Notamacropus eugenii: one gene and its partners. The protein of the gene in region 2 interacts with the protein of the main gene of each other region in a pairwise test. Links are inferred from orthologs where the notes say so. Each region holds a gene or a part of one and is shown on either strand. Other genes may lie near its edges.

What was found.
Region 1: the proteins of SGTA (region 2) and prostatic spermine-binding protein-like interact in binary tests that used the Homo sapiens proteins (3 or more experiments, as listed by UniProt). The two-hybrid records come from large-scale screens. The link is inferred for Notamacropus eugenii from reciprocal best matches to the Homo sapiens genes SGTA and ZG16B.
Region 3: the proteins of SGTA (region 2) and SYT4 interact in binary tests that used the Homo sapiens proteins (3 or more experiments, as listed by UniProt). The two-hybrid records come from large-scale screens. The link is inferred for Notamacropus eugenii from reciprocal best matches to the Homo sapiens genes SGTA and SYT4.

Annotation. Positions count from the first base shown.
Region 1 is NC_092872.1:56,084,830-56,088,580, forward strand, and holds the start of prostatic spermine-binding protein-like, read left to right. Parts: upstream 1-1,492; coding exon 1,493-1,547; intron 1,548-3,751.
Region 2 is NC_092875.1:63,000,473-63,004,223, reverse strand, and holds the start of SGTA (small glutamine-rich tetratricopeptide repeat-containing protein alpha), read right to left. Parts: upstream 2,177-3,751; 5' UTR 2,092-2,176; intron 1,722-2,091; exon of another isoform or gene 1,601-1,721; intron 1,291-1,600; exon of another isoform or gene 1,216-1,290; intron 1-1,215. UniProt on the Homo sapiens protein: Co-chaperone that binds misfolded and hydrophobic patches-containing client proteins in the cytosol. Mediates their targeting to the endoplasmic reticulum but also regulates their sorting to the proteasome when targeting fails.
Region 3 is NC_092875.1:331,133,706-331,137,456, reverse strand, and holds the start of SYT4 (synaptotagmin-4), read right to left. Parts: upstream 2,817-3,751; 5' UTR 2,527-2,816; coding exon 2,493-2,526; intron 1-2,492. UniProt on the Homo sapiens protein: Synaptotagmin family member which does not bind Ca(2+). Involved in neuronal dense core vesicles (DCVs) mobility through its interaction with KIF1A.

The DNA of each region.
Region 1 (3,751 bases), on a different chromosome or scaffold from region 2:
AAGGTCAAACACATTGGTCCTGAGTCCAAATCCAGGGTTCTTTCAACTCTAAGAGGATGCATCCCCTACCTATACCTCAGGGCCTAGGGACCACCTCCAAAATGCCCAGAAACCATCAGTCAGGGTCCAGGATAGAAATTTCTCTTGGCAGGGGAAGAAAAGGTGGTCTCAATTCTTTGTTGCCCCTATACCCTCTCTTCTATACAGCAAGGGTCTGTACATACGTAGCACTACACATCCAAGAACATTTCTTAGCTAACTTCAGGTAAGCCCTATCGTCACCATTTGAGTGGCAACTATCATGAAGAGCCCTGAGAAGTCTAAAAGAAAACTTGGAGGGCTCTCTAAGAGGCAGGGCTGGGCTGGGCCAAGCCAACTGTCACCAGAAAGAACTCACACTCATCTAAATAAACAATGGGTAAGTATAAATCTCCTGGGTGAGTGGAGACCAGCAAAGCACTCAGCCCAGAACAGGTAAGGAAGAGATGGGGAAGCAGATGGGCCCAGGATCTGAGGGGTAAGACAAGGGAATGGGAAATGGGAAAGATCAGAAGGGAGAGAGAGAGATGAGTAGCTATAATCTACAGGGGTTCAGAAGCATGGGACAAAATAGAAGGAATGAGTTCCTCAAGATACTAAGTGGAGCAATGGGTACAACTCTGGGTTTAGAATGAAAAAATACCCAAGTTCAAATCATGCCTTAATCACTTGCTAGCTATGACTCTGGACAAGACATGTAACCTCTCAGCCTTAGTTTCCTCATCTGTAAAATGGACAGGTTAGACTTTATAGGCTCCAAGGTCCCAACTCTAAATCTGTGGGCCTGTGATCACTATGTAATCTTTGCTCTATGCAACCATTTCTCCTCCTTTTCTAACTATCTCTCAGGCTAGGTCCACAGGGCCTTATCTCTGGAGGACTAGGGTTGTAATCCTAGCTTTCTGCAGCTTTATGGCATTAGACAAGTTACTCCCCACTTTTGGCTTAATTCTAGGTTTCTAAGGTTTCTTTCAGCTCTAAATTCTATGACATGCCTCCCACCTCTTGGCAGAGAGATGGTGGAATACTGGTGCAAAATGAGGTTTCAGACGTTGATTTGTTTTGTTTGACTCTACTTATTACAAGAGATGGGTTGGGATTCAATGGTATGGAGTGGGTCACAGCAGCAGAGGAGTTAGCAGTTAGTGGCAGAAAGACAAAAAAAGAGCATCAATAAAATATTTTAAATATATAAAAAAGAAGAATGATAAGAAAGAGGACTATTTTGTTACTACCTTATTAAATTTAATAATCCCTCTAAGAATAACTGTGAAAAAGGTACATTTGGATTCAAGATTCATCATACATTTTTGCTCTTTGTGTAGGAAAATGTTTTTATTTGTTGATGGTTGTTAAGTTCATAATTAGAAAAAAAAAAGAAAATTTAGAATGTAAGTAAATAAATCATATTGCCCTATGGTTTTTTGATGCCACTGTATCTTCTTTCCAGACCATGCGATCCTTCCTGGTCCTTGTCCTCTTGGGAGGAATCATCTGCACTTTCCATGGTAAGTCTTGATCCCTCCCTCTTAGAGAGGTCAAGGCATCTTATTCTGCCCACCTTCCCATCCTTCCCATCCACAATGCAACTTAGGAACTGAGGAAAACTTGGGCCACAGACCCCCAGGTTGGACAGCTCCTGCTGAAGGCTTCAAAGAACTGCTCTCTTTCCCCAGGCCTCTGGTTCCTTTTGGCTCTACCTGTTTCACAGCTCTTACAAACTTCCTTTGAATACAAGGGGTCTGAGGATTTTTATGGGATTTAGTGGGGGTAAGGGCCTGGGGTGGAAAGGGAAAGGTTGCAGAGAATTTTCCCTGGGCTTCAGGAAAAGGGATTCCAAGCTCTAAGCTGCTAGTCACCCAAACTGGTAGTGCAACAAGGTGGATCATGTGAAAAAGGTCTTGGCCTGACTAAACAAGGATTTCTTGATAGATCTGCAATGCCCTACCAAGCCATTCCCCAGGGAAACATAGAGTTTTACCCTTGTGGAAAGCAGTAGAGCAGCCAAGACTGGGCAATCAACCATTTCTTTGTTTCCCTATTTTCTAGAAGGGCACTGCACTAGAATTCTATGTACCACACATCAGGTGTTTGTAGTCTAGGGGAAGAATTATTTTTCTAGTTCCAGGAAAAAAACCACTTTCCCCAGTCAGGGAAGGTGAGGGTAGTGGAAAGTAGTTTCATTTAAGGCTAGAAGATAACAGCTTAATCTCAACAACCTTCACTCCCCCTTTCACCAAACATTTATTACACAATCACGGATAGCAAGCAGTCATTTATTAAAGCAAACAAGTAAGATGGAAATCTGGGGAGCCATTCAAATTAGTGTAGGTAATAAAATAAAACAAGCATAAAAGGGCTCTGAGACCCAGGAAAGAGATGAAATCTCAGCTCAAGCAGAAAGAGAAAAATTTCATCCACAAAGTCCACTCTGGGCAGACACTGGGAATCAAATGACATACTGGGGTGCCAGCTCCTCCTCACGTGCCTATGGCTCTTGGGGCCACCTGTTCACTATTCAGAGTTTCCATCTTGCCTCCTCTCTCCATAGTCTCTTCATTCTCTGCTTCTCTCTCAGAAATCTCTCCACCAATCAGGAGTCTTATCTCCCTGCATGCATGCAAAATCACAAGCCTATCCTTTGAAGGCCTGCCTGGGAGTGGGAACACACTTAGAAAGCTTGCTCATCTTTGTCTTCTCCCCCTCCTTCATTCCCAACATCAGATCAACTGTTGGGCCAAGCTGTGATACTCCTGAAATGTCTCCTGTATCCACCCATTCCTTTGCACCCCTACCACTACTTTTATCATTTCTCATCTGGTAATAGCCCCTTGACTGATCTCTCCAATTCTATCCTCTCATCATTTCCAATCCATCCTGGATGCACTACCAGAATAATCTTCCTAATACACAGCTTGAGCCATGTCCCTGCCTTCATCAAAAATGTTCAAAGGTTCCTCATTGTTTACCAGAAAAAAATATAAATTCCTTATTTAGGGGTTCAAGACCTTTCACAGTCTGGTTTCAGTCCATTTTTCCAGTCTTAAAATTCTCCCCTTCACACAATCTGACTCAGTCACCCTGAGTGACTAGCCATTACCTGGTCTTGTCCTGTCTACTTGACTCCGTGCATTCACTCAGGCTGCTCTCCACACCTGGGACTGACTTGTCCCATGCTCATCTCTCCATCTGCTGAAAACCTCTTCCTCAAGATCCTGCTCAGATGCATTCCCTGATAGCCCCAGCAAGAATTCAACTCAATTTAGCAAACCTCTAATAAGTGCCTTCTATGTGCCCTCTCTCTGCCTACTTTCCAAGGCTCTTTACCAAGCACAAAAATGAAATAGTCACTGGGCTCAAAAATTTTATATTGCACTGGTATTGACTTCTTCCTTGAATCTCTCAGGCCTCTATGTTGAGCTTATCTTGGGCACTTGAATCACTTTCCAACTTGTATTTTAGTTATTGCTGAGCTTGTCTCTCCCCCTCCCACTAGACTGTGAGTTCCTTAAAGGTAAGAAACATATACTATCTCATCACTGCATCTTCTTCAGTATGTTGAATGGGATGGAATGTAATTGATATCAGGAGGTTTCTTGAATGTCTTTGCGTATCAGGACACTTTTTGGTATATCAAAAAATATCCGAGATCCCTCATGATAGTAACTGTACCTGATATGCACGTAAAGATAAAATAAAGAGCGGTGAAACT
Region 2 (3,751 bases):
CCACTTTCCTAGTGAGGAAAATGGAGTTTACTTTCCCACATTCAGACAGCTGGAAGAGGCCAAGTCAGCACTCAACCTCCAGTGTTCTAGCTCCTACAAGCTCTATGCACAGACTACAAAAAGGCAGGAGGCTGGAGAGCTACCAGGGTCACCTGGTTTTGGGATGGAGTCAAGAACTATATTTGGAGTCAGAAGACCTGAATTCAAATTCTGATGCCCAGGAGCTTATTGCCCAAGTGGCCTCAATTTCACCATTTAAAAAATGAGAGGGTTGGACTAGATCTCTAAAGGTTCTAAATCTATGATACTCCAGGACGTCTAGGAGTCTCTTCAACCTTAAAGTTCTATTACAACTCCATGAGAATATAACTTTATCCATTATTACTCTGGGATACAACTTTTGAAGCAGGGTCAGAACTCCTCTTTCAATTACTCTCTAAAACGTTCAGGACACTGAGCATGAACATTATTACCCAGCCAAGCCTTGGGTGGTCCTCGCTGTCCCATATAACCCCTTCAAATTATACATTGTTATCGTTACAATTTAACTTTTGTCCTTCCTGAAACTGTCAGTACCTTGAGAGAGGGAATTTTTTTTTCTTTTTATTTCCACGACATGACATAGTAGTAGAAGGAGTAGTGGATTTATAATCACTGGACACGTATTATCCTGGCTCTGAAACTTACTAGCAGTGTGGCCTTCAGCAAGTGCCATCACTCTCCCTTGGCTTCAATGTTCTCTCTGTAAAATGAGGGGAACAGAACCAATGATCTCTAAGATCCTACGATGGGGCCATAGTTGGAGCCCAATGAAGGCTTGCTAAGTTGAGCAGCTAGGTGGTAGAGTGACTAGAGCGCTAGCCCTGGAGTCAGGAGGATCTGAGTTCAAATCAAAGTCACTTAACCCTGACTACCTTTACAAATAAAAAGAGTAAATAATTCCTTTGTTTCTTTTGGAAACAAATCAATATCTCTTCTATGCCTGTCCCTCAGCCAGTCAAAAGACAGCAAAACCTGTTGACTATAAGAAGACTTCCATCCCACTTAGACCTTTCTTGATTTCTGCCTACTCAGCCATCAATCAATCCTACCCTCCCACAGCTCCACTAAATGACCAGCAGACTGTTATTGGTTGGGGCAGTACGGCAGCTGTGTTAGAAATGGCGCTGGACTGGGAGCTAACACAGCTTTTGGGGGTCTGGCTCTGCCACTTACCGGCTAAGTGACCCCTGGTAACCCACTTCATGTCTCTGAGTCTCTGTGTTCTCACGTGCCCCGTGGGGCTGTCATGCCCTCCTACCTCACAGGGGTGCTATGAGCACCCAATGAGATAACACCTGGATGGGGCTTTGCTTTCAAAGCACAGCAGGAGTGTGAGGGATCGATCGCTAAGCCCAGTGCAAACTATTAAAACCAGAATCTCTGGAAAGGCTTTTTTTTTTTTTAAACGTGAATTAGAGCCTAAGACGGAAAAGAGCCCTTAGACTTAGGTTTAAGTGGCAGGGGTCTAATATTTAATAATGACCTTGGACAAGTCCCTTCCTCTCCCTGTGCCTCAGTTTCCTCCACTAACGCTACGAGCAGTTCTGGCCCTACCTACCTCACAGGAGAGGACTGGGTGCGGTGGCGAAACCTTTGGACTGGGGGATCCGAGGCCCCAGGTTCGAATGCGGACGGTGGGGGGGGGGGAGAGGGGAGAGACCCTGGACAAGTCCCTTAGCTTCTCCGGGTCTTAGGCTCCTCCGCTGTAAAAGAAGGGGGTTGGCGGGGGGCCTAGGAGAGAGATTCATGGACTCTGGGGAAACGGGAGAAAATGAGCCCTTGCTCAATCCTCGGGCCCCTCCGCTCCCGGAGCCCGGACCCTCGCCCTCCTGCAGAGGCCGCGGCTTCTCCACTGCCTTCCACCGGAGGAGCCGGAGCCTGGGCCGGGGCCTCCCTCCTGCCGGCCGCCCGCTCGCCTCGGGGAGCCGGCCGCGCGGGGCAGAGCAGCCGAGGCGCACAGCTCCGACACCCGGGGCGGAGGAGGAAGGGCGTCGCGGCCTCCCTGCCCTCAGCCGCTCGGCGGCCGCCAGCGCTGCAGTCGCCACTCACCTTAACAAGCTGCCGAGCCCCCGACTCCGCTCCGCCGCCTGCTGCGCCTGCGCCCACGCCTGCGCACCTCGCCGGTCGTCCCACCTCTTCCCCTCTGCCATGGCGATGGCGCGGAGGCAGTGCCCGGCTCCGCCCCCTCGCGGTTCTCGCGGGCCTCGGCCTAAAGACCTGCGGCGCAGGCGCGGATGACGACGGGCCCTAGATCAGGCAGAGAGAAGGCCCGGGCTGTAGTACTATTCACCGACCGGAAGTCTCGGTTCCAGGCTTTGCGTTTTGTGGGCCGGAAAAAGGAGGCCCGGAGTGTTGCATTGTGGGAGGACTCCATCCTCTCCTCCCCCTCCTCCCCCGCCCGCTCTTTTTTTTTCCCCCCCGCAAAGAATGATGTCATTTTCTCTTATTCCGTGACGAATTCGGTCACGTGCGTCTGCTCGCGTGCGCCCTGTGCCTGCCACTTACTTCAACTGTAACTTTGTAACTTTGGACAGCTCACCTTCCAGGCTAAATTCCGTTCGACTCAAAGAGCATCGTATCAAGCGCCTTCTCTGTAAGAAGGATACAAAGACAGACGGACGGACAGACACAAACGACCAACTGCCCCTGCTCCCTAGCACCTTCTGGTCTTCAGCCTCTGAACCTCGTTTTCCTCTTTTGCAAAATGTATACTCTTAAAAATTACCAACATTTGTATAATTTATAATCATATGATATATAGACATACTTTGTGTTCATATAGACCATATAATTTCCGTTTATAACATATATGTATATAATCTATATTTGATGTATAAATGCATGTAATAGATAAGTATTATTTCAAGTTTTTTTGTATTTATATGTTATGTAAATGTATAGTATATTTGTATATTGTATATTAATATACTTACATAGTAAAGCTTTGAAATTTGCAAAGCACATTACATGAAATTAATCCATTTGAGCCTCCCATCAACTGTTGTGTAGTTAGATAATATATTATTTGCATTTTACTAATGAGAAAATTGGGTGTCCCAAAGGATAAGTGATTTGCTCAGTCTCATAAACAACATAAGAGTTCTATAAGTTCTTACTATGTGAGCAAAGCTCTGGGCTAAGTGCTGGGGACACAGATAAAAGGAAAGAAGAGGAAACTTACCCTCAAAGAGCTTAAATTGTAATGATGAAAGACAGGACATAAAGAGAAGCAGCAGCCTACCCCACTGGATGGTTGGGAGGAATTTCACAGAATTTTGAGTTGATAGGCAGCACCACAGGGTCCACCTAGGTCAAGAGAATCTTTAAAAAACATCAACGAAGACCTTTTTTAAAAAAATTTAATATTTTATTTTTCCCAATTACACGTAAAAACAATTTTAGCATTCTTTTTTCAGATTTTGAGTTCCCAATCATCTCCCTCTCTCTCATCCCCCTCACTGAGAAGGCAAGCAATTTGACATAGGTTATACATGTGTAGTCATGTAAAGCACATTTCCATGTAAGTCATGCTGTGAAAGAAAACACAAAAAAAAACCCCAACAACAATAAGAAATAGAAAGCAAAAATATCTTCAATCTGCACTCAGCTTCCATCAGTTCTTGAAAACCTTTTGGTAAGGCTACCAGCTGCTGCCTAGGTTGAGGCAACTTCTTTCATTTTAGAAAAACTAATGAGTAGGAAATTTCCC
Region 3 (3,751 bases), about 270 Mb from region 2:
TTATTACACAAGACAACCAGAGTTTGGCAGGTCAGTGCCAATTACATTATTTTCTTCATTAACATTGTATGCCCTGTTATTTTTTCCTGAAGCATCATTAATATGTGTTTCAAAGGATACATTATTTAAACACTTATTAGGAATTCCTTGAACTAGTTTAATTAGAATCCAAAATATAGTGATAGTGCCAAAGCAATTAGTACTCTGTCATATACGCTAAAAGTTTCTCTGTCAGATAATAGATTAAAACATGGAAACAAACTGGTTAAAAATAAAGGAAAAAGAAAAAACAGAAAGAAAATATTTAATTAGCTTATAAGAATAAAAAAAATTGACTTACTACTCTTAAAACCTTCCCTTATTAGAATGATTGCCAGACTACAAAGAGAAAAACAGCACAATTTACACAAATGCAAACAGCAAAGAAATAGAACTGTGTCTTCCAGTAAATAGCTTCCTTTTAACATATAAAGAAAAAAAGAATGAAAGTAACTGATAATTTAATTTTATCCATCACTGTTTTTTTGTCTTAATACATTTCAATGTCACAATACAGTAATCAGAACCAAATTCACATTCCTCCTGAGAATAGAGTATTAAATTATTGATGTTTAGTGACATTGCTTATGCATTAAGGTAATCATGTTCTGTATGTAAGTATATTTCACCCACAAATGATTAGCAACTATGTATGAAAGCTCAGCATTATCCTGTCCAGATAGTTTGTCCATTTAAAATGGATGTTCAGTAGAAGCAATGCACACAGTTAAACATAATGATTTCGGCACTGGCTACCTAAGTTTTGCTATGTTATTATATTTTTTAAAAATTTCCTTCCCTTATTGAGAAGGAAAGTTCAGGAACACAAAGGGTTAAGATTTGTTTAAATGTCTTTGAGAAGAATGATCTTTTGTCACTATACTCCTTACTAGCTTCTTTCTCTTTAGGATTCTGTATACGTCTCCCAATAATTACAAACCAGAACTTAATGAAGACGAATTAGAAATGTTTGATCAAAAGTGTCCAATAAAGAAAAAAATTAATTTAAAGGAATATAAAAAATTGAATCATTTAGAAATGAGAAATTAATCTTTAAATTTGTAAAACCTGAAATATTCTTGAGTGGCATAGAAAAAATAGTCAAGGACTGAACATGACTAGCCAAAGTTAGCATAAGCTTTGAAGCTGCCCTTACTGTCAAAGCAATAAAGAGGTACACACAATTTGTTTGACCAAGAAGTGTACTGTAGCAAAGTGGGGGTGTGAGAACTTATTTCATATTTCAAGGAAAATAGAAAGTAATTTAAACCATTTTAGTTAAATTAACCAGATCACTGAACTTAGAACTAGAAGAGAACTTATATTTCAAGATAGAGTTGTTATTTTTTGGAGGGGAAGCAATGTAGATAATGGCTTATTAACAGAAATACTTAATTTTTTCCATCAAATATGGGTGATGGACACAATCACTGTAATTACAAAGCACCAAATGGGAAGTGCTGTACAGAAGCGATTACTGTCAATTAGAGTGAAACCTGGGCTTCTTTGAATTCTGTTACCAAATAACTAAAGAATACAATGCAATATAGAAAAGAATAAGTACACTCAAAGTCCTGCCTACTGGTAGAATGAATAGATTTGGGGAACAGAACAAAACTAGTTCACCCAGTGATAACAACAGCTCCCTCACCCCTCCAAATCCTCACTCTCATTAGCACACTTTTATGAGAATATTTGACTTTCAGAGCTGAATCATTTTAAAAGTAACTACGATTCTTCCCTATTGCACAAAGACTGAATACAATAGAACCACAAACTTAAAAGAGGAAGGGGGCTGCGTTTGAAGAGAAAACAGTACATATTTGGTATGATGTAATAGGGACAGATAGAAATGCTGCCCTTGAATCCTACCTAGCAATATCTTCTGAGGAGAAACAAAAAGGGAAAATATAGCCTAACGATATGGCCATAAAATAATCATGTTACTTTCTGATATAAAATGAGGGTGTCAAAGCCCACTAGTTAAAATTATTTTGAACTGACTCCATTTTTTAGGATGTCTTAAGTGTATATTTGCTTTTAAGCTCTGTGCCGCCGGCCCCCACCCCCCACCCCTCAAATGACAAACGCAAGATATTTATCCGAAAAGAATCCTCATCAGGCCAAATAAAATTAAATAAAACCAACAATCAAATATCAGAACACTTTGCTGCTACTACAATATGCAGAGCTCCCTGAATCTTTGAGAACTTCTTGAAGGTAAAATAACCTTAGCAGAATGCAGTATTCAAGGAGGATACCTGATAAGGGAAAGAGACAGACGGGGTTTACTAAGATTATCCGAGTACCATTCACGTTCTCTGGAACCAGTAGCTAGCTAACCTACACCCAGTCTTTAGAGGCAACGTATACTCCAAGCAGTAGTTTCCAAAGAAAAACAACCAAACAAACAAGCAAACCTTTTTTTTAAGTTTGGTTAAGAACTTGCTTACCAAATTCCTCTCTGCTTGAGGTGATCGGAGCCATGTTTGCTGCGTGCTCTGTCCGAGGTACTGAATAGCAACCCCTGGCTTGCCTCACTATGAAAGCGACTGTTTTTCTCTTCCCAGAACGAGAGGCTGGATTTTCCTCGTGATGCAAACACCAACGTGCAGCCCAGGGGACCTTCAAGAGCAAGCAAGTGGGAGCGGGGGGGGCCTGAGGAAGCAGAGACGGAGTTCAGTTCTCCTTCACGCAGAGATTTGCCACCCCCTTTCCTGTTTTGGCTCTTCTGAGTAGCTCCGCTCTTACATTGTAGACGTGGTTGAAACCCAAATTGACGCAATCCTGACGCTACAGGGCTGAAATCAGCACCTGCCCTCCTCCCCTTCCATTTTCCCTATCCTCCACCCCTTCTTCTTTCTCTAGTTTCTCCAGAGGATTCAACACACACTCATCAATTATTTTAACTGCTCTGCTACAGGAGATTAGCTGTCTTATTCAGTGGGACACAGAAGCAGACTAAGATAGAAGTCCCTAAACTCAATCTTGTCAATCCATAACATAAAATGTTTGGACTTCATGGGTGGGTGGGAGCGTATCTCAGTGTGTCAGCGTTGTGATGCAAGGAGGGGATTAAGGGGCAAGAAAAAAGAAAAAAAAAACCAGTTCCATGTGATCCATTTCAATTACACACACATACACACACACACACACACACACACACACTTTATTCTCATGTTTCTTTCTTCAAAGCAATATACATGTCAGAAAAAAAAATTCACAGCTGACTGACACATTTAAAATAAAACTACCAAGATTTTCCCCTTTCATCTTCCCTTCTTCTCTTCTTCCCTCCCTATCAGTCCTGTTATCAACATAACTTTTCTGGTGATAGTGTTAACAACTATTCCATTCTAACACTGCAAGCCTATTCTATCTAATATCTGAAATTTCATCTAGTAAAGTGCTTAGGAAAAGATGGGAATAATCACTTTTGTTTTCAAAGCCCTTCCAGATGTCCTTTCATCTTTGATGAAATTCAGTGAGTATTTTAAAGAAACTTTAGGGATGATGAATTTGGTTATAAACCCTGACTGCTAATGTATGGAAAAAGAAGAATATCTTAAAAGTTTGAAAATATCTAGCTTGGTGTTGGTAGTTATAAATTTCTGCAGATGAAAAGAAAAATCATGTACTACTATGTGTGTAAATGTATGTGTACATACATTATATATACTCATACATATATACACATGCATATATATATATA